Astyanax mexicanus: one gene and its partner. The protein of the gene in region 1 interacts with the protein of each later gene in a pairwise test. Links are inferred from orthologs where the notes say so. Each region holds a gene or a part of one and is shown in the gene's direction. Other genes may lie near its edges.

Region 1 (7,066 bases):
AAATATACAAATAAGTAACACATTAGGAAGAAAAGTGTGGGTCTTGATATCAAAGAAAAAAAGAAAAAAGTTACGATTTACAGTCAAATGTAATATTTCTGTGTTTCTGTTACACTTTAAAATAAAGACTTGAACATGTATAGCATTAAAGTAGTTTATATTTATTTGCCAGTTGGCGGTGTGCAGAAATTCAGGTAATTCCAAAGGATTTACTTGTGTGTTTTTTCTGTATTATGGTGTATTTTGGCCACACTGACTGAAAATGTTTGAATGTTAGTTTTAGAAAATACATTTAAATTTCACTTATGTGATCATTAGGGGTGGGAAATATTTCAGGGTATTTTTGTGATAGCGATATTTTTGGTTATTTGACGAAACATTTTAGTAAGAAAAAACATTTCAGAAATATTCTAAATCATCAAAATAAATAAAGTTTACTATAATATAAATATAGGAGTTTCATACACAGAAAAGGCTTGTTTTTTAAACAGTAACTTACAGTAACAACAAAAATCTAACACAAAATAAAGAACAGTGCATTTTGTACATGAATATAAACTGTAACTAAAGTAAACAGCAAAAACAAATACAAAATAGACTTTCACGAATATCACTATTATAACGATATGTAGACTTTTATTGTGTCAAAATAGTTTGCAGTATTATTGCGTATGATATGATATGGCATGACCTTTGCGTAATTACAGTAATTGTTTTTTCAAGAAACAAAACCTACAGTAGGTAATGAATTTCATAACATTAATCCCAGTTTACAGTACAATACATGATATTTGCCAAACTATATGATCTGAATGAAAAAAGCATATGAATATTATATAAATTAATTATTCACTTTACCAAAAACCTCTTTCTTTCTCACGCATGGCATGGGCTTTTTCTGTTAGTTTTGTTACCATCAATGACCTTTTACAGTTGCTAGCTTCATGGTTATGAATAGGCCTGTAACTAAGCTGTTTAGTAGTCAAATTATGTGATTATTATTATTCAGTGAGTCAAATAGATTGTATTAATTATTTCTGCCATGCCGTCCATCACTTTTAAGTAAAAGAAACAGCTGTAAAGCACAGAAGCTGTTTGAATGTGTTTTGTGATATAGGGTGCATTTGGAGACACAGACCACAGTTTAAACTACCTCCCCCCTTGTGTTTCTGTCGCAAGCACTTTGTGTGTTGCGGTCAGGGCATAGCAGCAAATTCTGGGCCTTGTACACTCTCAGTGTCAGTGGGCTCCTATCCATGCCAGTACAAAAGGAATGTGAGCGAAAATAAAAATCTGGATTTTCATGGACCCCTCTCCCTACTCGGGCCCTGGGTAGTCAGGCCCACTTTTACCCCCACTACCACACCCATTATTGCGGTTACAAATTACTTATTATTTATAATCACTGCAGCTCTAGTTATGATATGACAGAGTAGTACCTCTGAAACCATTCTTACAGAACCACAGGTTGTTGTGACAATAACAGTAATGTTAATATAAAAACACATGTTTTAAATATTCATTTTTTTTATTTAATTTTAACAAGGACAGGTGGCAAAGTATTTGTACTTAAAGAGGCACTAAACCCTAAAACCATCTTTTTTCATTAATAGTTGAAATATGTTCCTTTGAAGTAATAAACAGTCCCACCTTAATTTTAATAAACCTTGTTAAAGGAAAATAAATCAAAAATATTTCTGTGCATAATATATATGGGTGATGCAGTCAATATTATCGTCAATATTTAAGTTATGTTTACTGTAACAAATTTTTCTAACATAAATCTTTAGCCTAAATAGACTATATTGTGAATTTTGACCTACCTTTGAAACTGGGGTGTTTAAGCAGAAGTGTATTACATTTTGGTGGGTAAAACCATAGACTGTGTATAGCTGGACAGAGCATCGTCTCTTAAAAGTGAAGCCACCACAGGTCGGGCGCCCCCTGCTGTTCGGCTGCAGAAAGCTGTGTAACTCCACCCATCCCCATAGGTTTCAATGGCAAAACAGACAACTTTCAATCACGTTTTTTTCTAATATACTGTAATTCTACATCCATTATTTAAATGCAACAGCTAATGTAACCTCTGCTTATATTGTCAAATTTTTATATCCCCACAGAATTCGGTTTTTAAAACTTTATTCGGCTCTATTCAAAAAAAGTTGTGGTTATGGTAAAAGGGCTGCTTATGGGCGGGACCAATAACAGACCGTCAGCTCCGCTCCACCCCGCTCTGCAGTCTGTGACCGCGAGGCAGCCCTCAGGGGCGGGGTTATTCAAATGAGTAGGCGGTCTCTCCACAGCCTTTCTCCCTCCTCTGGTCTGTACTGCGCAGACTCTGGTCTCTGAATCGCCAAAATGGCGGAAGATTTTGGCTTCATTTTAATTGAATGAATGGGAACGGCGACACGGCGTCCATCTTTATATACAGTCTATGGGTAAAACTGTTATTGATCAGTGTTTATATTTACTTCTTGAGTAGAAGTGCTAGTAGTGCTTTCACAAACAGGTCAAATCAGAGCCTACTCACTTCATATCTCCCCTTTTATATCAGACTGACCGCACACCGCTAGAGGGAGCCCTCGAGTGAGTGCAAAATGAATAACGGGGAATGGAGCTAAATGGCTAAAAACTCCAGTTTAATGTAGTTAAATAGTCTATAAATACTTTGCCAGTATATTCATTTAATTTTGGAAAGTAGAATGGTGTATTTTGCAAAAAATATGTATTAAGATGCATTATTTAAGCAATATTACACGAGAGGGAGTGGTACAAGGTGTCATATTGGCACTGCTGGGATGCGGTCCTCAGAACAGCAGTGCCAATATGACACGTTATAGCACGAACCTTGAGTGTATTATTGCGATTATACCACAGTTCCATTACTGCTGATTATTGAACAATTTTGAGTTAAACAGGATGAGAAAATGTGATCGGTTTAGTTATAAACAAATAAACGTTTTTAAGAGAGAAATATGTATAGATTAATGTCCATTTTTGGCTGGTAAGAGCTGCATCGTTGCTATGTTACCTGTATTTGGCGGAGTAATACATGGAAAGCTTCGGTTACAGTGCGTTATCGCCTAATAATGTTGCTCATAAAACTCCTCTCAGCCAATCACATTGCAGGGTCGGAACTTATACTTATTTATTTCTTATTTATTCAAAAAGTATTTTTTCTCCACCACATACACACACAAGTGATGAGCACCAGATACTAATTGGCTATAGCTATAGTTTAATCTGTCATATTTTCCACAGTGTAATAACGTTGTTAGCTAGCCAGTTAGCTATGTTAGCTAATGTTAACTACTTTATTTCAGTGGGGAATATTTTAGTTAGGTGGCTAAAGGTAGCGTTAAGCCCAGAGCTAACGATAGCCAGCTAACTCTTATAAGACGTGCACAAGTTAGAAGGCATCATTTTGTAGAAAAAGCTTTTGGACACATACACATACAGTGTGGCAGCTAGGCAAATAGGATTTAGATAATTGGATGGAGGATTGCAGAGCATGTGCACAGCACAATGTCGCAGTCAGGTACAGACAAGTGATTATGTGGTGCTCACCACTTACTATCTGGTGCTCACCATTTACTATCTGCTGCTCACCACTTAGTATGTGGTGCTCACCACTTTTTCATGTTAAAAAATAAACCATGTCCCTTCAGGTGCTCCGTAGAAACAATAACTTGCAGGTCACTTTGAATTGTGCTGTTTTTTGTGGTTTGTGGTGTAAGAACTGGAAATCTAAGTCGTAAAAAATATTGAGCTTTTTTTTTAAATATCACCAAGATTTTGCTCTCCAGAGATTCTCTGCTGGCGCTGCTTTTACAGTAATGATTACAACGGGTTGAATAAGGTAACATGTGGGCCTGTTTATGATTGAATGTGTTTACTATTGGCTCATTCGCCAGGTCTGTTTCTGCACCAGCCAATCAGAGTTGCGCGCAGTTTGACATGGCATTGGTAGATTCATATTACAGCCCGCCTTCTTGGCGTCGCGGTAGGAATGTGATTGGTGGAGGCAAAGGCGTTTAAATTTGAAATGTAACGGTAAACGGGTATTCTGTTAAACCAGTGCAGCGGCTCAGTTAAGATACTCACAGCGGAGAGGGAGCCGCAGCCCGTCTCTTCAGGATAAACACGTTTTAATCTTTATTTCTGCTTCTTCTGCTGCTGACTGTCTGTACGGAGACATGTAAGTATGAGGACAAATCTTTATGAGCAGTGTCGAGTAACTTAAAGTGTGAAATAATACTTTTAAAGCTAGTTTCTGACAGCGAGTCGTTATCTGGTATTTTAATAAATAGTTAAGTGGCCAGCTAGGTAATTTCTCTCTCTTAACTTATACTTTTAACTCAGCTATCTAGTTTACACATTTTACAATGTTTTGGTATTCAGTTCAAACACTAATTTAACTGACGTTTCATAGCTAGCTAACGTTAGCTAAGCTTACCAGACTAGATAGTTTGGCTTAGTTTACTAGCTAGTTTGGTTAACTAGTTAACGGCAGGTTAACCAAGTTAAAGTATTTCAATGTTTAAGGTATGTAGTACTTTTTGAATCGTATTTAAATTATTTATGGAGTATTTATCAAGTGCGTTAGGTTAGTTAGCTAGCTAGCTAGCTTGTGTAACGTTACACATGCATCTCCTTTGACTAAGTTCTGGAAATGTCTGGCTCCCCCATTAAAACACTAACTACTGTTTGTCTTCTACTGTTTAAAATGACAGTCAGTAAGAGTTAACGTTAAGTGTGAGTATGTGTAATTACAGAGTGTCCTAAAAGTAACGTACTTTTAAAACGTGCATTGGTGTGTGTGGTTATAATTTATTTATCATTGTTTTAACTTAACTTATTTAACCTATAAAAACTCAACAGAGCTTATTTTAATGTCTTGCTATGAGTTTGTATTACATTTAAAACAAAGTGACCATTTTAACTACAAGGGTGACAATGTAGAACACTTGTTTGGAGTGTAAACTAGGTCTGCGCAGTTAATATAATGCATTTTATTGATTCAAATATTGATTTCGTTTTAAAAAAAGCAATGTGTACATGTACTGAACTTACAACCACATGTATAATCACGTGACCACACCCTGTCCAATCTAAAACATGGAAGTAGCATGGAGGAGAACTGAAACACTGTGCCAACTGAGCAACTCAAGCAACTTGTATAATCGTTTATTTGTAACGAATAAATTTTCTATTACCCACAGAATGTTGTTTTTGATGTTGAGGTGCTTCATTTGACCTATAAAATCCTACTGAAATAAATACTGTAGAACATCGGTAATTTTCTTGAAGTCTGGCTTGGTAAAGCTGATGGTGCATTGTTCATTTTAAATAGAGTTTCCTGGGTTCTGGAGAGAGACATGGCCATAAATGGTAATTATAACTCCATATTCTTAGTCATGTGAAGTCATGCCATCAAGGGACAGGGTTTATAACCTGTTTATCCTCAATACTGTGTAAAATATAAAAAGCAGTGTGCCAGGAAATACTAAGTGTAACTGCCAACTGATTCAGTAATTTTGAAATGTCAAGTTATTTTCCTCCAGTTTCTGCCTTTCTCTTGAAGGTATGATTCACTTTCACCGATGGGCTTTCTCAGTTGGACACCTTTTCACATAAGTTTTACTTAACATTTGGAGCACAGTTGGGATTTTACAGTAACAACCTTTCACTGCCACACATCAGCTGACCGAACTAAACCACCCCTGACCTAATTCTGCACAATGGCTCTTCACTTTGTATGCTTTCTGCAGCTAGCCTGGAAATTCAGGCTTTCACCGACATGACCAACCAGCACTGTATGTCTGAAAGTATCCACAGTCTTTCTAATGAAGCTTTGAATAGGTATGAGATTGGCTCTGGATCAGCTGTGATGACATGACCAACATTGCTGTCTGTTGCTGAATGTGGTCTACAGTATTACAGTATAAGATTTATTTTGAGAATGTAGTTATGCACCCAAATAAGATTCCAGAATAATTTTAGTAAATAAAACTAAAAATCTATTAGTTTGTCGTTTTTGGTTAACAGTTATTTACCAAGACTCTAATTGTGTGAAATAGTAACAGTATGATTTGTGCATGCATATAAACTGCAAACAGTTAAAAGTGGATATCAAAACATTTAATTTAAAATATCAGTTTTCATCAACAAACTACTTAAATTTTCTGTTTATTTAAAGCACAAGTCCTTCTGGCTTATCAGTAAACCCAGCTGGGTACTGTACACAGAGTGCCCACTGGGAGTGGCTCGTTTTATGATGTCGTCACTCATACTCTTCAGTGTGTTTTTCTCTCTCTCTTTCTCTCTCTAGTATGAGTTCAGTGGTGGTGAATGATGAGAATCAGGGAGTTTGCCCTGTTAGGAAGCACATTGCACCTGAAACTTCTGCTGATATTTTCGCTTTGGATCAGCCCACCGGCAGGCCTTCCATACTGAGACAATCTCAGGCTGAAAACCTCAACAAAAACGTGCCCAAAGGAGTGAAGGTAGAGACTTTAAATGATTGTGTTTGTATATGTGCTAACTTGGATAGGGCTAGATAGACAGTCAATTGATTCCAAAGGAAGTTAGGAGTTTTAACTGATGTACAGTTTTTGGAAGTGTTTATTTGTAGTTTGTAAAATGTACATTTTATTTTTTTATTTTTGCCATGTTGCTACAAAAGGCATAGTTCTTCTTAATGAACTGCTTACTTTATGAATAAACTCATTGTTCTCTGTAATCCACGTCATTTTGTAACACATTCAGGGTTGTTGAATTCCGTACACTGACTGTGTTGAATGTGGCTGTAATATGTGGATATTTCTTGCTTAAATTTAAATTTCTGCTCACTTTATCCCCTTAAGTTTTCGTTACTGTTTGTTCTCCAGGTTTGTTTCCAAACTCCACGCAGAGACCCGGTGACTAAGAAAATTATGTCTCCTAGCCGTGTTGGCAAGATGGCCTCTTTGGATGATTGCACAGCTCTCCTAGAGTCTCTCTCGCTGACTTCTACTGAGTGAGTATCAACATGTTCTTTTCTAGCTAAAAAGAAAGCTCTAGCTGC
Region 2 (7,814 bases), on another chromosome or scaffold:
TCCAAAGTGAAATAATGAGAATTTGTAGATAAGTTACCTTGGTGGTATTGGCTTGCTAGGAGCTGATATGTTCCGTTTAGCTTGCTCTGCCATTTTTGCCTCGATTTCACGCTTCTTCTGAGCGATCAACTCCTCCTGCCTCATAATAACGTTGAGCTTGCTCTTCTGAGCAAATTTATTATTGTTATTATTCTTCCAGCCTCCTCGACCTGCAACACAAAATGTACAGTTAACATCAGGCTGAAACTGGCTTAGGATCTGTTATAATACACAACATATGATCAAAGGTCTAAAAGTATGGCATATACATTAGGCACTTTTCTGCTTAGCGCTTTTAGGTAAAGCCCAGGGACCTACAATTAAAAAATGTGTTCCCTCAATAATGTATTGAGTATTCTTAATTATGAATTGAGACATAAGTAATATATATATATATATATATATATATATATATATATATATATATATATATATATATATATATATATATATATCTAATAAAGGGATAAATAACATAATTGAATGAGAAGTTGTGTATTTAAACTTTTGACTAGTACTGTAGCTTATGTCTCATATATTTCTACAGACAATAATAAATAACACTGGGAATGAACCTCTACTATTTATAAAGTGCTATTTTTTACATTTTAATACACAGGGGCAGCAAAAAAGCAGCTCTGCAAAAAAAATAAAGAGACCACTTAAAAAATTATGAGTTTCTTTGATTTTACCTAATTGAAAACCTCCAGAATATAATCAAGAGGAGGATGGATGATCACAAACCATCAAACCGAGCTGAACTGCTTGATTTTTTTAATCAGGAGTAAAGACATAAAGTTATCCACAATCAGTGTGAAAGACTGGTGGAGGAGAACATCACAAGAAGAATGAAAACTCTGAATAAAAACCAGGGTTATTCCACCAAATATTGGTTTCTGTACTCTTAAAACTTTATGAATATGAACTTGTTTTCTTTGCATTGTTTGAGGTCTGAAAGCTCTGCATATTGTTTTGTTATTTCAGCCATTTCTCGATTGCATTTTCTACAAATAAATGCTCTAAATGACATGTTCATTTAATTCAAACATATATCTATAAATAGCAAAATCAGAGAAACTGATTCAGAAAATTAAGTGCTCTCTTGTTTTTTTTCAGAGCTGTATAACTAGAGCTGACATTAGCTAACCTAATCTAAACTAACGCTAGTTAACCTACAGCCGCTGACTAAGCTAACTTGGTTAGTTAGCCATAGTTGAAGATTAAAATACAATAAATCAACGAATTAAGTTACTAATTTTACGTATTACACAAAGGAATGTTAGTATTAGTAACTGCTAGTCAAATAAGTAACTTATATTAAGGATAAAGAATAAAGCTAAGCTAGCTAAGGGTGTGTATAATCTAGCTAAACTAGGCTAAAATATGCTAAGCTAAGCTAAAGCCCTAGCTAACACCATGCTAGCCTTATTACTAGCTAGCGATACGCAGGCAGCTCAAACACCATAATCAGCGGATCCCCGCGGCTACACTCATTATTGTTTTAATGTGTTTTAATATAGTTAATTTACCTCCATCGTTCGCCTCCATTTTCAGCCCCTTGTTTACTCAGTTGGTCAGTTGGGGTTGGATCTTTGCCTGCCGGGAGACGGGCGGCAGTGGTGGGTCTGCGTGACGTCACCCGCCAGCCACTTTTTCATCGACCCGGCAGTGCCAGGCACGTACCCGGCAGTACTAAAAACTGTCAGGGAGCTTCCTGACAGTACGCCGGCACTACTAAAAACTGTCAGGGGGCTAACTGACAGTACGCCGGCAGTTTTAAAAACTGTCAGGGAGCTTCCTGACAGTACGCCGGCACTACTAAAAACTGTCAGAGAGCTTCCTGACAGTACGCCGGCAGTATTAAAAACTGCCAGGGAGCTTGCTGACAGTACGCCGGCACTATTAAAAACTGTCAGGGAGCTTCCTGACAGTATGCCGGCACTACTAAAAACTGTCAGGGGGCTTGCTCACAGTACGCCGGCACTATTAAAAACTGTCAGGGAGCTTGCTGACAGTATGCCGGCAGTTTTAAAAACTGTCAGGTAGCTTCGTGACAGTACGCCGGCACTACTAAAAACTGTCAGGGAGCTTCCTGACAGTACGCCGGCAGTTTTAAAAACTGTCAGGGAGCTTCCTGACAGTACGCCGGCACTACTAAAAACTGTCAGGGAGCTTCCTGACAGTACGCCGGCAGTTTTAAAAACTGCCAGGGAGCTTGCTGACAGTACGCCGGCACTATTAAAAACTGTCAGGGAGCTTCCTGACAGTATGCCGGCACTACTAAAAACTGTCAGGGGGCTTGCTCACAGTACGCCGGCACTATTAAAAACTGTCAGGGAGCTTGCTGACAGTATGCCGGCAGTTTTAAAAACTGTCAGGTAGCTTCGTGACAGTACGCCGGCACTACTAAAAACTGTCAGGGAGCTTCCTGACAGTACGCCGGCAGTTTTAAAAACTGTCAGGGAGCTTCCTGACAGTACGCCGGCACTACTAAAAACTGTCAGGGAGCTTCCTGACAGTACGCCGGCAGTTTTAAAAACTGCCAGGGAGCTTGCTGACAGTACGCCGGCACTATTAAAAACTGTCAGGGAGCTTCCTGACAGTATGCCGGCACTACTAAAAACTGTCAGGGGGCTTGCTCACAGTACGCCGGCACTATTAAAAACTGTCAGGGAGCTTGCTGACAGTATGCCGGCAGTTTTAAAAACTGTCAGGGAGCCTGCTGACAGTACGCCGGCAGTTTTAAAAACTGTCAAGGAGCTAGCCTAGGATGGACTCTTTCATATGGGAGTGGACCTGTTTTGGCATTATGGAAAAATCATGAGAAATTTAATTTTAAGCATAAATAATAAAAATAAATAAATAATATAAAATAAACAATACAGTGAATTTTTCCCAAACTTGCAGGAGTCATAGCCTAGGACAGACTCTTTCAAATTGTAGAGATCATGAGATCATGAGAAATTTAATTTTAAACATGAATAAAATAATAATAATAATAATAATAATAATAATAATAATATAAAATAAACAATACAGTGAAATTTGCCGAAACTTGCAGAGGTGATAGCCTATGTTTTGGCATCAAATGCTAACAGTGGAACTGTTTTGGTATTATGGGAAAATCATGAGAAATTAAATTTTAAGCATAAAAAATAAATAAATTAATATAAAATAAACAATACAGTGAAATTTGCCCAAACTTGCAGGAGTCAAAGCCTAGGACAGACTCGTTCAAATGGTAATGGAACTGTTTTGGCATTATGGGAAAATCATGAGAAATGTCATTTTAAGCATAAAAAAAAAAAAATGTATATAAAATAAACAAAACAGTGAAATTTGCCCAAATATGCAGGAGTCATGGTAGTGGATCTATTTTGGCATTATGGGAAAATCATGAGAAATTTAATTTTAAACAAGAATAAAAAAACATTAATAATAATAATAATAATAATAATAATAATAATAATAATAATAATAATAATAATATAAAATAAAAAATACAGTGAAATTTGCCCAAACTTGCAGAGGTGACAGCCTATGTTGTACTCTTTCAAATGGTAGTGGACCAGTTTTGGCATTATGGGAAAATCATGAAAAATTTTATTTTAAACACGCATACAATTTTTTTATTAATATAAAATAAACCATACAGTGAAAATTGCCCACACTTGCAGAAGTGATAGTCTAGGATGGACTCTTTTACAAGGTACTGGATCTGTTTTGGTTTTTTGGGAAACTCATGAGAAATTTAATTTGAAGCATGGATTGAAAAAAGTAATATTAATATAAAACTCTCTCTCTCTCTCTCTCTCTTAAACACTGATGGGATATTATATCAAATAGATAATGTACTGCACAAAATATACAGTGAGGTGAGTTATTTTAATCCGTTTTTTCTCGTTTCTGGGCTTAATGTATGTCTGAATTAATATAATAGACTGAAACGTGTCGGTCTCCCGTTCTCTGTGTTTTTTAAGCGTGCTGTTTACCGTAAAATCGCACGTATACGCGCATCTAAACTTAAAGCGCGGATGACTTGACTGAGAATTTCCGAAGCGCGGATAGCTTGACTCCGGTCTTACTGTCAGCTAGCCCCCTGACAGTTTTTAGTAGTGCCGGCGTACTGTCAGGAAGCTCCCTGACAGTTTTTAGTAGTGCCGGCGTACTGTCAGGAAGCTACCTGACAGTTTTTAGTACTGCCGGGTACGTGCCTGACACTGCCGGGTCGATGAAAAAGTGGCTGGCGGGTGACGTCACGAAGACCCACCACTGCCGCCCGTCTCCCGGCAGGCAGAGATCCAACCCCCTCTCCAGTTGGTACTCAGTAACTGTTTCGCCTCGTCTCGAAAACAAACCCGCTGTACTGTAGAGGAGTTCACACCGCCGCCCGCAGCGCAGGAGGAGAAACTGTGGAGCAGATTTTACTGAATGGAGCTGGAGATGGTGAAGGAGTTCCCCACAGATAAGTAGAGCAAAACACTCTTAAATTAGACATTTTCAGAAGTGCTGCTTTTTGTTGGACTTTTTTTTAGGTCTCTTTCAGACCAAGCTTATAATACACAGAGGTGGAAAAAGTATTGAAAAATTGTAATTAAGTAAAAGTACCATTACTTTGCTAAAATTCTACTCAAGTAAAAGTACCCATCTAAAAAATCTACTCGAGGAAAAAGTAAAAAAGTACTCAATTTACAATTTACTTTGAGTAAAAGTTACATAGTTACTTTTAATTATTTGATGTAAAAAAAGTACAAAACATAAATTAAATATATTTAATGAATTATTATTCCAAATAATAATTTGGACCTTTCAGGCAGTATTTGTTCAGACCACCCCATAAAACATTTTTAAAAACAAGTGGCATAGGTTTCTATGATCCATTTTTTTCTTTACCGTTTAAAAGTTATGGTCATATACATGACTATAAACTGTATTGCTATAGTTTTACAGTTCATTATCATTTTTTTAACTTGCCATTGCCATGCTTTAACTGCTATTTACATGTTTTTGTTTTTTACATTTAAGAAGATTGTTTAATGTTTCCAATAAAAAACTTAAGGAATTATCATGAAAAACATAAAATCATACAAAAAAAAAAAAAACCTAAAGAAACACATATCGATGGGTAGCATAACTCTACAGAACACCGGTTTCCCCCGAGCACAGCTGATTTACACAGCGTCTCTCTCGCTAACCGTAATAAACACTGCTGGGAAACGTTCAGCTGCGCTGCCATGGAGAACAAAACTCAACAAAACCCCAACATTTAATTATTTACTCAGTAACGGGGAGTTTTCCAATGTAGTGAAGTAAATTACTTGTGTCAAAATGTACTTGAGTAAAAAGAGTAAAAATTACCTATTTTATAAACTACTTAAAAAATTACAAATTAAAAAATAAAATATAAAATCTACTCAATTACAGTAATTTGAATAAATGTAATTCATGACTTTCCTGATAATACACTATACACACATACACTACACGACTTTGAAAAGACTTTTAACAGACTAAAGTCTGACACCCTCTCACATCTAAAGACAAGTCACAGACTTTTTACTAACAGGCTAAGATTTTGCAAAGACTGGGGATCACTAACTGCAAGACTGCAACTAGATTCTTTCTGAGATCATTTTCCCATCATGCTTCTGGTGGAGTTTACATGCAATACATATTAAGTTATCATACAAATAATGTGCTTATCAATACTGTGATTTATCAGAGACTCACAACTTTTCTGCCCATCAACAGTTTATTTTTCTGCCACACTGTTAGTTCTTGATATTTTTAAATAGAATACATTTCGTGTTCAACTAAGCTTTGTTATAACCTTGTATAGCAAAGAATCACAGTTTCAGAATCTCAGTTATACATTTGCCTTTGTTTTAGATAGAATTAATGCAATAAAGAACATCATTCTTGCAAAATGTTTATTTATTAAAATTGTTTGTATCAAAAATAACACTGCACAATAAGACAAAGTAGTGCAAAATAAAATAACTTTAAATATAATTATTTTAAAGAACCATATAGGGCATATTAAATGCAAAATGTGTTCTTTTTCAAATTGTTTGTAAACCACATCACTATTTACTTCACTATTGTGTGAGCCGGAATTATGTGACAACATGAGATCCTAATGCATGGATACGACTTAATTAAGCGTGGGAACAAGAACCTAATATGTGGGAACGAGATAATTAAGGCATGGGAACAAGATCCTAATGAGTGGCCCCTACTTATTTAAGAATGGGAACGAGAACCTAATGCGCAGGAACGAGATAACTAAGCCATAGTAACAAGATCCTAATGCGTGGCCACGACTTATTAAAGAGTGGGAAGGAGATCCTAATGCATGGCCATGACTTAGTAAAGCGTGAGAACGAGAACCTAATGCGCATACATATATATATATAAAAGTGTGCGTACCTCTGACAGCAAAACCTCAGATCCGTGATCGATAAAGTTCCTTTTCTTCGCCATTTTCCTAATAAGAGTATTGCAAGGCATATTTGACTAATTAGCATATTATAATCTTCATAATGGAGGAAGGAGACAAGGCAGAGTATTGTGTTCCTGCATGTGCGCTTAATTTGAATTTGATTGTGATGTATTACAATAGTGTGGGTCAAAATCTACTTAAATACGGTTTCATACATCTGTTTTTTTTAGTGCATATAGAACTTTTCATTTTCATTTCATTTTATTATTAATTCCACACAACTCTTAGTTCATGAGGCCCCAGGTCTGCTACAACTGGTCTAAAACAGAAATGTATAGTGCTAGAGACACAGACTTGAGTAAAAATCTGAGTAGAAGTGTTCTATCAAAAAAAGTGATACTTATCCCATTTGGGGTCAGAGAGCAAGGGCAGACATGGTACAATGCCCCTGGAACAGCAGACAATATGGATATTATATTAAACCTGGGTATCAAACCCAAAAGCTTGGTATTGATTATCCAGCATTTAAACTGCTAAGCCAACACTGCCCTAAATGACCTAAATGGTCATATGTGCCTGCAAAACTTTTTTTTTTTTGCAAGGGCAATTTTTAAAACTGTACAGACATAGATAATATACAGAAGTAGAATTAAAGACAAATTCCCACTTATAATTTAATTACAAGTAAACACAAAGCTAATCTTAAATATCAAACAAATAGCACATTTAATTCTGGTTCATCTTGCTGAACCCCCTCTGTGCTGCAGCCCAGGTAAAGCAGGTGTAATCTGAACCCCGGGTGAGGCGTCACCCCCCGTTCTCAGCGGGGGCTCGCTGCCATCGGCACTCCAGCTGACCGACAGCCTCATTCAGGTCCAAAAACGGCTGCCATTCAGCGCAATGAAAACGATGAAATGCCTCCATTATAATGGTGAGGTGAAGGGCCCGGCAGGGCGGACACCCGATCCCCTCTCCATTGTCTCGTACATTTCATATCTGAAATATCTGCCCACACTCCCTTCTGGTACACACTGACACTCACTCACATGGGGCTCTGGGGCTCACTCTGGCTGAGCGGGAATGGGGAACAAGCAGACCATTTTCACTGCCCAGCAACTGGACGCATATCAGGTCAGTCAGGAGAAGCTGCATAGAATTAATTAATTTATTTATGGCTTGTGTTAGAGAGGTGCAAAAAGAACATCTATAATAATGCAGTTTAAATGTGCAAACTCTTCATGTCCTTTTGTAATTTAACGTAGTGTGTATCAGTGTGTATGAATTGTGGACTGTAAAAGTTATATTATTGTTAGTGAATTATTTCGTTCATCCT

Evidence for each region.
Region 2: the proteins of tacc3 (region 1) and cib3 interact in binary tests that used the Homo sapiens proteins (3 or more experiments, as listed by UniProt). The two-hybrid records come from large-scale screens. The link is inferred for Astyanax mexicanus from reciprocal best matches to the Homo sapiens genes TACC3 and CIB3.

Annotation. Positions count from the first base shown.
Region 1 is NC_064414.1:9,971,780-9,978,845, reverse strand, and holds the start of tacc3 (transforming acidic coiled-coil-containing protein 3), read left to right. Parts: upstream 1-4,050; 5' UTR 4,051-4,198; intron 4,199-5,353; exon of another isoform or gene 5,354-5,391; intron 5,392-6,331; 5' UTR 6,332-6,332; coding exon 6,333-6,506; intron 6,507-6,890; coding exon 6,891-7,018; intron 7,019-7,066. UniProt on the Homo sapiens protein: Plays a role in the microtubule-dependent coupling of the nucleus and the centrosome. Involved in the processes that regulate centrosome-mediated interkinetic nuclear migration (INM) of neural progenitors.
Region 2 is NC_064411.1:47,999,887-48,007,700, forward strand, and holds the start of cib3 (calcium and integrin-binding family member 3), read left to right. Parts: upstream 1-4,808; 5' UTR 4,809-7,561; coding exon 7,562-7,612; intron 7,613-7,814. Other genes in the region: sugp1 (SURP and G-patch domain-containing protein 1), read right to left, coding at 38-209, 1,569-1,587. UniProt on the Homo sapiens protein: Acts a an auxiliary subunit of the sensory mechanoelectrical transduction (MET) channel in hair cells. Plays a role in regulating hair cell MET channel localization and function.